Arabidopsis thaliana: one gene and its partner. The protein of the gene in region 1 interacts with the protein of each later gene in a pairwise test. Each region holds a gene or a part of one and is shown in the gene's direction. Other genes may lie near its edges.

Region 1 (3,898 bases):
TGTTAACAGAGGAGCAGACAACACCGTAAGCTCCACGACCAATAGGCTTGATAGGCATGTACTTAGTGTCGATCTCGAACAGAGTTTGCCACATTGAGAAGTAATGCTTCCCTTCATTCCTTATCCCATTAGGAGGATCAACCAAAGTCGCCATTTTTTGTTTTCCCTCTTCATCACAATTCACACACAATCAAGAAATCAAATTTACACACACAATTAACAAATTATTATACTAACTATTTATCAAAACTTTTCAAGTGATAAGTTACTGTAGATTTCTTGTGTAAACAGATTGGTCTGTTAATAATAGTGAAAAGGAAAAAGATCAAACTTTATCGATTTGGTGAAGGAACATAAACGATCGGAATCAATGGGAAAAAAGTTTACGGGATAAAGCGGGAAGGAAATTCTAACCGGTGATAAGTGACCAACGACGTTCCCCGGAGGTTAGATTTGGCCGGAGAGAGAAACCTGTGGAAGTGAGAGAGATTTGGCCAACGCTCGGACAGTTGACCTGCTACTTGTTCGTTACTAGGTAGTCTTTCCTTATATAATTTGGGCTTAAGTTGAGCCCAATTAATATTGGCAAACAGATTCACGTCTCTATCTTCTAAAATCAATTTCGGTATTTTTTAGTAACTGATCACCAAAGTAGCATCATTTGTGAATATGTGTTCTACGAAGATTTATAAAAATTGAAAATGAAGAAAAGTATTTTAAAGTAAAATATATCATAAATGTAAACAATGACACATGACTAAAATATTGCATCACCAATTCACCATCTTCTTTTGCTTTAACTTTACGTTTCCATCACACATCTTTTCATTTTGCTAAAATTAGCATCTAGAGGAAAATAAACTACAAAAGATTTAAAAGTTTTCATTAAGTCAGATTATTAATATAAGAGAGGAGGCCCATGCAGACAGAAAGGGAAAGCCCATAAATCTAAGCAGTGGCAAAAATGTTAGAAACTGTATAAAATGATACTAATAAATTGGTTGGAGTCTATTATAGTAGCAAATAAAAATAACGTTAGGTATTTTTGATTAAATAAAAGATGTTAGGTATCATTATGATCACTCATTCTCTTCAACCAATTATGTCAATACTACAGCTCATCAAAAGCCTTTATGGTAAAGCATGTTTCAGATATTTTCATTATTCATATACACACTACACAACATATAGTATTAAAGAAAATAAATAGTGTATAGATATTTAGAGATTTCCAACTAATTCAACATAACCAATACAGCTTTTAATCATTATCTAAAACCAGACAAAGATTCTTTCCAGTTGGTTTTCCCTGTTCTATTTCCTTACAAACAGTTATTGACTATTGAGCATTGCCTTCACTGTTGAGAAAAATTTGTGTAAATCTTACGCACTGTCAAGCAACTGCATGCATTCTCTAAATAATTACCTGACTCTAGATATAAAAGAACTGAATTAATGTAAAAAAAATATAAGCAAAATATCTAGGAGACAGATATTGACGGGTTACTTCAAGTTTGGACAAAAATAATTAAGAACACAAAAAATGCCGTTGAAACCTTTTCTTTTTGTAGTACAGTTTTTAGTTTTGTTGCTAACGTTCAAATTATTTATTTATTCATCGCTTATCTTGTTTTGTGGATTAGACAACCACGAAAAACAATGCTAGGGTTGTCAGAAACACCAAATATTCGAATTTGCATCCAAAATTCGATACTCATCTTGAACTTTTTTGTTTGTGACATTTTATTAAAAATTTCAATTTTTCCTAAAAGAATTTTACTTTAAATATTTAAAAAGAAGAAGCATGTTCATTTTTCAATATATCTGGTCCCCATATTAAAACAAGCAACAATAATTGACAATCTCTTTCTTTCATCTTCATCTTATTCTTCTTTATCTCTCTCTCTCTCTCAAGACTATTGAGCTTCTTTCTTTTTTCCTGAGTCTTTTAGTCTGATCTCTTACAAGAATGGCGTTCGCAGGAACAACCCAGAAATGCATGGCATGTGACAAAACAGTTTATCTTGTCGACAAGTTAACCGCCGATAACCGGGTCTACCACAAAGCTTGTTTCCGATGTCACCATTGCAAAGGAACTCTCAAGGTTTGATCTTTGATTCTAGTTTGTGATGATTTCTCATTAATCCAGAAGTAGATCTAGTAGATATATATGTAGATGAAGAAGTCCAATCAATTAAGTAGAAATCTTTGAATTTTTGGCTATGGAAACTGATTGGTCTAAAGATTTGACTGTTCTGTTTCTTCTTCTTCTTCTTCTTCTTCTTGATGAGTCAGCTTAGCAATTACAACTCCTTTGAAGGAGTTCTCTACTGCAGACCACATTTCGATCAAAACTTCAAGAGAACTGGAAGTCTTGAGAAAAGCTTCGAAGGTAAATTACCAAAAACAGATCAAAATGTGAAAAGCTTTGTGAGTGGGGATTTCAAATTTGGAATTATCTATCTAAAGTTTGATTCATATATATGTACAGGGACACCAAAGATTGGGAAACCTGATAGGCCTTTGGAGGGAGAGGTACTTTCGGACAGCAGAACAAAACCCTTTTTCTGTTTTTGAGGTTCTTGAATTTTTTTAACATTTAACATGAGAGAAGTTTAACAGAGACCTGCTGGAACCAAAGTTTCGAATATGTTTGGTGGAACACGAGAGAAATGCGTTGGTTGCGACAAAACCGTGTATCCAATTGAGAAGGTATCCAATCTCAAATCTTTCCTGATCAGAATCAAGTTGTGTCAAAGAAGATTGTTAGATTGTTTCCATAACGAATCTGATCTGTTCTTGGCTTAAACCAGAGCTGAAACATTGCTTATAATGTGGACTTTGTGTAGGTATCGGTGAATGGAACATTGTACCACAAGAGCTGCTTCAAGTGTACACATGGAGGCTGCACGATAAGCCCTTCGAATTACATAGCTCACGAGGGTAAGCTATATTGCAAGCATCATCATATTCAGCTGATCAAGGAGAAAGGAAACTTGAGCCAGCTCGAAGGAGGAGGAGAGAATGCCGCCAAGGACAAAGTCGTCGCTGCTTAAAGAAACAATTCAATCTCTCTGGGATGATTTTGACTATCGAAGAATCAAAAGAGTCACTACTTCTCCATCGATCGATAACATATATTGGTTTTGTTTCTTCCTACGTTTGTGTTTTTCTTTTTGGTCTTTAATATGTTTTTTTTTTTTTGGGACCTTTGTTCACTCTTTTATTGGGTTTCTTGAAATGAAACTAGAGAAACAAAGAAATAATGGATGTTTGCTTATGAGATATATATGTATTACGTTCATATGATATAAATTAATTTTCGTGAAGTTTAAGCTTCAGCTAAATGATCGATTCAATTGCTACCATCGTTGATTCAGGTTATTGATAATTTGTTACTCTTGGCAGAGAGGATGATGAAGTCGCGTGAAGATAGAGGATGGAGATGTAAACATATTGGGCTAATTCCTTACAAATGTTAACATAGATTAAAAACATAAAATAAAACAAACAAATAAGGGTAACAAACCGAAACAAGAGAGACAACCCATAACATTAATAGGCCCAACGACCAAACCCATGAGTCCCAACTCGGAGGAGACCAATCGACGAAAACCCCTACACAAGAGGCGCACTAACACAGAAAACAACCCTTTGCCGAAACTCAATCGGAGAAGGCTAACAAAAATTTTGCAAAGTACTTCGTGAACTTGAATTTGTAAAAACAAAACATATTGATTCATGGATTTTTTGTTTTAATGTTATTGTCTTCAAGGAAAAATCGGGAAAATAATGGCTACTATAGATATAATACAATGATATGAAATTAATTACAAGTAGAAAGTAGACATACTTATTAGCCCTATTGTAAATCTACCAAAATGATTTAAATCAATGG
Region 2 (5,972 bases), on another chromosome or scaffold:
AAATGTTGTTAGTAACATGTTTGATTGTATGTTGTTAGAATGGTTTATCAGAGTGCATTCGCACAACTATCCAATCTCTCGAGATCTTCTCTATTCGTTTTGATATTTTGAACTTTTTGAAAACCTCTCAATCTATTGATAAGACAACTTTTTTATGAAAAAATCAAGTTTGAGAACTAGGTTTTGTGTTTATTGATCTAGTTTACTTAGTCATATTCACTAAGTCGTCAATATGGTATGCTTTCAACAATAACATAGTAATTTGAATGCCTCGTACATTTTAGGCGATTTTCTATTACAATGTTTTGGTAGAGAATACGTATTTGTATATTTATGATGTATACGTGCATATACATTAATTGTTTTGTCGGTTTATTATGATCAAACAATAGTTTGTCTGTCAGAAGATTCAAGAAATATCTTTGAATCTGAGAGTTTCCAAAAAACGTTATGATGAAAATTTGGCATATACGTATTTCTGACAAGCTGATAATATTGTCATCTTGCATTTCAAGCAGTTTCGACAAAATTTTATCCAACTGTTATATTCAAACTAATTGAAAATCGAAAAACCACCATTAAAAATTAGTTAAAAATAACATATCATTTTGAAAATGCAATATTTAAAAATTTAACATATCAATTTAACATGCTTGTTTTCTTAATAAGTTTTGATATATTATAAAATGAACCGCGTGATTACAATTTTTCTTTTTGTGATGGAACTGTCGTTAGTTAAACACTTAAACTTAAACTTTCATGTAAGTTTTGTTTATTCATATTTGACTCAATTGAAACCCAATAATCAAGAATGTCAAATATTATATGTTTTGTCGGATTTGTAACGTGATTCTCGCTCATTTAATAATGTGATAATATCATAAAATTTAATCTATGTAGTTGTTTAATATGATATTAAACTTTATTAATGTAATAAGATCGATAATACTAAGTTACTAACCCAAATCATACACTTACGAGTTACGACACTACCGCACTATCTTGGTTATATTAAATACTCCTTTTGTTTCTAATAGTTTGATGTTTATATCAACATTATTATTTACTTTCATTTGTTACCGATAGAAAGAGGAGAAAATTGTTGACAAAAACAAAGAAAAAAGTAAAATTAATATTATTAAATTAATAAAAATAACAAACTGTAAAAGCTATTTTTAAAAATTTTTCTTGTAAAACATCTAAAAATTATTCTTGTAGAAACAGAGGAATATCATTGAAGATAATAGTGTGAAATTATATATATATATAGAAATATATAAAGTAGGATTTTTTTCTGTATACAAATATACGTTTCCAATTTTATCAAAAACTGTAAAGATTTTTTTCTTTGTCAGTACCTGCTAAACTTGTTAATTTTTTTATTAAAAAAAAATCAAATTACAATTCTTCTATAATCATTTTAAATTCCATTTCTTTATACCACAAAAGATTATATTGCCTTTATCGTCTTTGGTATGTATGCGTGAATATATTTATTTATTTTCTTTTCTTTCATTTTCTTTTTAAAGAACTTTATAAATGAAATAAGGAACAAACAATATACACATGTACTAACGTATATAAATAATATCATCAATATCTATCCAAAACTTGGATTTCATGGTTGACGTGGCCCAACCAAAATCTCAAGTTCTCTGCGGATGACGAACCATCTCACCATCTCTTTTTTTCTCTCTCTTTTTTTTTTTTAATATCATCAGCACGGTTACATAAAATTCGTGATCCATGAAGTTGGCTTTCTTGTCGTTTTACTTCATCACCCCATTTTTTTAAAGTCTCCATCTTTATACTTCTTCAACTCTCCACCACCACCATTGTCACCACCACATTTAAACACACACTTTCACTTGTAGTGGGATTCGAAAGTGCGTTTTATTCATTTGTTTTACTGTTTTTGATAACCTCAAAATTTGCCTAAATTTTATTCTCTATAAATCCTTATATGTTTTACTTACATTCCTAAAGTTTTCAACTTTCTTGAGCTTCAAAAAGTACCTCCAATGGCTTCTTCTGCATTTGCTTTTCCTTCTTACATAATAACCAAAGGAGGACTTTCAACTGATTCTTGTAAATCAACTTCTTTGTCTTCTTCTAGATCTTTGGTTACAGATCTTCCATCACCATGTCTGAAACCCAACAACAATTCCCATGTAAGTTCACTTCTCTCTTCTCTGCTTCATCATGGAACTTGATTTAAGAACTATGAGATTTTGTAGCTTGCCCATTTGCTGAAATCTTGAATTAAATAATGGGTTTACTTTGTTTTTGACAAAAGTCAAACAAATTTGACTCCTTTTCTTAGTTACTTTATTGGAAATCTGTGGAAAATATAGTGAAATTAGACCAATAATATTGCTTCTTTGGTTCTGATTTCTGGGAACTGATTAGAGAAAATGACAGCTTTTGCGATTTGGGTTTTGTGTTGTGGTACAGTCAAACAGAAGAGCAAAAGTGTGTGCTTCACTTGCAGAGAAGGGTGAATATTATTCAAACAGACCACCAACTCCATTACTTGACACTATTAACTACCCAATCCACATGAAAAATCTTTCTGTCAAGGTAAAGATTCTAGCTTTGATGCATTTGTTTTAGCTTTCTTACAAATTGATGGATTGGTGGCATTTGGTAACAACTTATTGCAGGAACTGAAACAACTTTCTGATGAGCTGAGATCAGACGTGATCTTTAATGTGTCGAAAACCGGTGGACATTTGGGGTCAAGTCTTGGTGTTGTGGAGCTTACTGTGGCTCTTCATTACATTTTCAATACTCCACAAGACAAGATTCTTTGGGATGTTGGTCATCAGTCTTATCCTCATAAGATTCTTACTGGGAGAAGAGGAAAGATGCCTACAATGAGGCAAACCAATGGTCTCTCTGGTTTCACCAAACGAGGAGAGAGTGAACATGATTGCTTTGGTACTGGACACAGCTCAACCACAATATCTGCTGGTTTAGGTAATACAATCAATCATTCCTTTGGTGTGTTTGCCTTGTGTTGTTGTGTTTAGACAGTAAACTGTAATAAGAAAACAGAACTGAATCAGATATATGAGTTTTACAGGAATGGCGGTAGGAAGGGATTTGAAGGGGAAGAACAACAATGTGGTTGCTGTGATTGGTGATGGTGCGATGACGGCAGGACAGGCTTATGAAGCCATGAACAACGCCGGATATCTAGACTCTGATATGATTGTGATTCTTAATGACAACAAGCAAGTCTCATTACCTACAGCTACTTTGGATGGACCAAGTCCACCTGTTGGTGCATTGAGCAGTGCTCTTAGTCGGTTACAGTCTAACCCGGCTCTCAGAGAGTTGAGAGAAGTCGCAAAGGCAAGTTTATTGCATTTCTTTTCTAGAATGGTAAAGAATACTGGTCTTTATGGACTTGATGAGAATTTTGGCTTTTCTTGCGTATAGGGTATGACAAAGCAAATAGGCGGACCAATGCATCAGTTGGCGGCTAAGGTAGATGAGTATGCTCGAGGAATGATAAGCGGGACTGGATCGTCACTGTTTGAAGAACTCGGTCTTTACTATATTGGTCCAGTTGATGGGCACAACATAGATGATTTGGTAGCCATTCTTAAAGAAGTTAAGAGTACCAGAACCACAGGACCTGTACTTATTCATGTGGTGACGGAGAAAGGTCGTGGTTATCCTTACGCGGAGAGAGCTGATGACAAATACCATGGTAAAACAAGTTAGATAGATAACGTTTTCTCTAGTTCCTAAGCAGTGGGATATATATATTGATTATTTTTCTTTCAGGTGTTGTGAAATTTGATCCAGCAACGGGTAGACAGTTCAAAACTACTAATAAGACTCAATCTTACACAACTTACTTTGCGGAGGCATTAGTCGCAGAAGCAGAGGTAGACAAAGATGTGGTTGCGATTCATGCAGCCATGGGAGGTGGAACCGGGTTAAATCTCTTTCAACGTCGCTTCCCAACAAGATGTTTCGATGTAGGAATAGCGGAACAACACGCAGTTACTTTTGCTGCGGGTTTAGCCTGTGAAGGCCTTAAACCCTTCTGTGCAATCTATTCGTCTTTCATGCAGCGTGCTTATGACCAGGCAAGTTCAACATCTTAATCATTTTACTTTGTAATAAAACATTTTAAGAAACTAATAGAGTATATGGTGGCCTTCTCTGTAGGTTGTCCATGATGTTGATTTGCAAAAATTACCGGTGAGATTTGCAATGGATAGAGCTGGACTCGTTGGAGCTGATGGTCCGACACATTGTGGAGCTTTCGATGTGACATTTATGGCTTGTCTTCCTAACATGATAGTGATGGCTCCATCAGATGAAGCAGATCTCTTTAACATGGTTGCAACTGCTGTTGCGATTGATGATCGTCCTTCTTGTTTCCGTTACCCTAGAGGTAACGGTATTGGAGTTGCATTACCTCCCGGAAACAAAGGTGTTCCAATTGAGGTATAACTTTGGTCCTCTCAAATATGTCTCTCTTCCTTCATCATTTTGAGATAGAAAATCTCTTTGGGTGTATTTCAGATTGGGAAAGGTAGAATTTTAAAGGAAGGAGAGAGAGTTGCGTTGTTGGGTTATGGCTCAGCAGTTCAGAGCTGTTTAGGAGCGGCTGTAATGCTCGAAGAACGCGGATTAAACGTAACTGTAGCGGATGCACGGTTTTGCAAGCCATTGGACCGTGCTCTCATTCGCAGCTTAGCTAAGTCGCACGAGGTTCTGATCACGGTTGAAGAAGGTTCCATTGGAGGTTTTGGCTCGCACGTTGTTCAGTTTCTTGCTCTCGATGGTCTTCTTGATGGCAAACTCAAGGTTACTTATTACTTCCAGAAACTCTCTAATATTTTTCTGTCTTTTCAAAAAATACTGTTTCTAATTTGCAACTGTTTGAATATACAGTGGAGACCAATGGTACTGCCTGATCGATACATTGATCACGGTGCACCAGCTGATCAACTAGCTGAAGCTGGACTCATGCCATCTCACATCGCAGCAACCGCACTTAACTTAATCGGTGCACCAAGGGAAGCTCTGTTTTGAGAGTAAGAATCTGTTGGCTAAAACATATGTATACAAACACTCTAAATGCAACCCAAGGTTTCTTCTAAGTACTGATCAGAATTCCCGCCGAGAAGTCCTTTGGCAACAGCTATATATATTTACTAAGATTGTGAAGAGAAAGGCAAAGGCAAAGGTTGTGCAAAGATTAGTATTATGATAAAACTGGTATTTGTTTTGTAATTTTGTTTAGGATTGTGATGGAGATCGTGTTGTACAATAATCTAACATCTTGTAAAAATCAATTACATCTCTTTGTGTATCTTTCATAGCTTTGTGTGACATATTTTGGTACGAGCAGTGTTTTTAAACCTGGACCTATATATATGGCCTCATTGACTGACGATCGAACGTACCAATGCAGTGACCCGAACCACTTTCCGGTTTACATTCCAATCCGGTTTTACAAGATTGGATACAAGTATTTTTTTTTTCAAAATATCCCCAAAGAGCCTAAAGGCATTGAAAGACTCTATCTACAGAAGAGAGTTCTCTTGTTAAGAAAATATTAGACAATAATAGAGTATCTTCATTATGTTCTTATAATCTTATCTAATAATTACTCTCACTAAATAAGATGATTATGATTATAGTTTGCTTTCATAAAGATGAATGTATTCAGTTTTACTTATTAAGTATACTTTACTTGGGAATTTATCTATACCTAATAAATATAAAATAGTGTAATCATAATTAAATTGAATAAAAAAATGAAAAGAAAAGATATAGTATCTTAATTATGTTTATATCTAATATACTTCCTCTTTCACTAAAAAGATGATTTTAGGATTTATTTTTTTTGGTTCATAAAGATGAATGTAATCAATTTTATATATAAATTTATCTTCACCAATTAAATATACTATAATGTAAATCTTAAATAAATTGATCAATTT

The links. Proteins that work in one complex are often made in the same cells at the same time.
Region 2: the proteins of WLIM1 (region 1) and CLA1 interact in a two-hybrid assay, tested with the Arabidopsis thaliana proteins (one study listed by BioGRID).

What each region holds. Positions count from the first base shown.
Region 1 is NC_003070.9:3,345,835-3,349,732, reverse strand, and holds WLIM1 (GATA type zinc finger transcription factor family protein), read left to right. Parts: upstream 1-1,593; 5' UTR 1,594-1,969; coding exon 1,970-2,104; exon of another isoform or gene 2,105-2,286; coding exon of another isoform or gene 2,287-2,295; coding exon 2,296-2,392; intron 2,393-2,491; coding exon 2,492-2,535; intron 2,536-2,622; coding exon 2,623-2,712; intron 2,713-2,849; coding exon 2,850-3,056; 3' UTR 3,057-3,343; downstream 3,344-3,898. Other genes in the region: MPK1 (mitogen-activated protein kinase 1), read right to left, coding at 1-154. UniProt on the Arabidopsis thaliana protein: Binds to actin filaments and promotes cross-linking into thick bundles. Has an actin-stabilizing activity. The actin regulatory activities are not regulated by pH and [Ca(2+)].
Region 2 is NC_003075.7:8,882,197-8,888,168, forward strand, and holds CLA1 (Deoxyxylulose-5-phosphate synthase), read left to right. Parts: upstream 1-1,628; 5' UTR 1,629-2,021; coding exon 2,022-2,171; intron 2,172-2,454; coding exon 2,455-2,580; intron 2,581-2,663; coding exon 2,664-2,979; intron 2,980-3,085; coding exon 3,086-3,357; intron 3,358-3,444; coding exon 3,445-3,718; intron 3,719-3,795; coding exon 3,796-4,103; intron 4,104-4,185; coding exon 4,186-4,467; intron 4,468-4,545; coding exon 4,546-4,830; intron 4,831-4,917; coding exon 4,918-5,058; 3' UTR 5,059-5,471; downstream 5,472-5,972.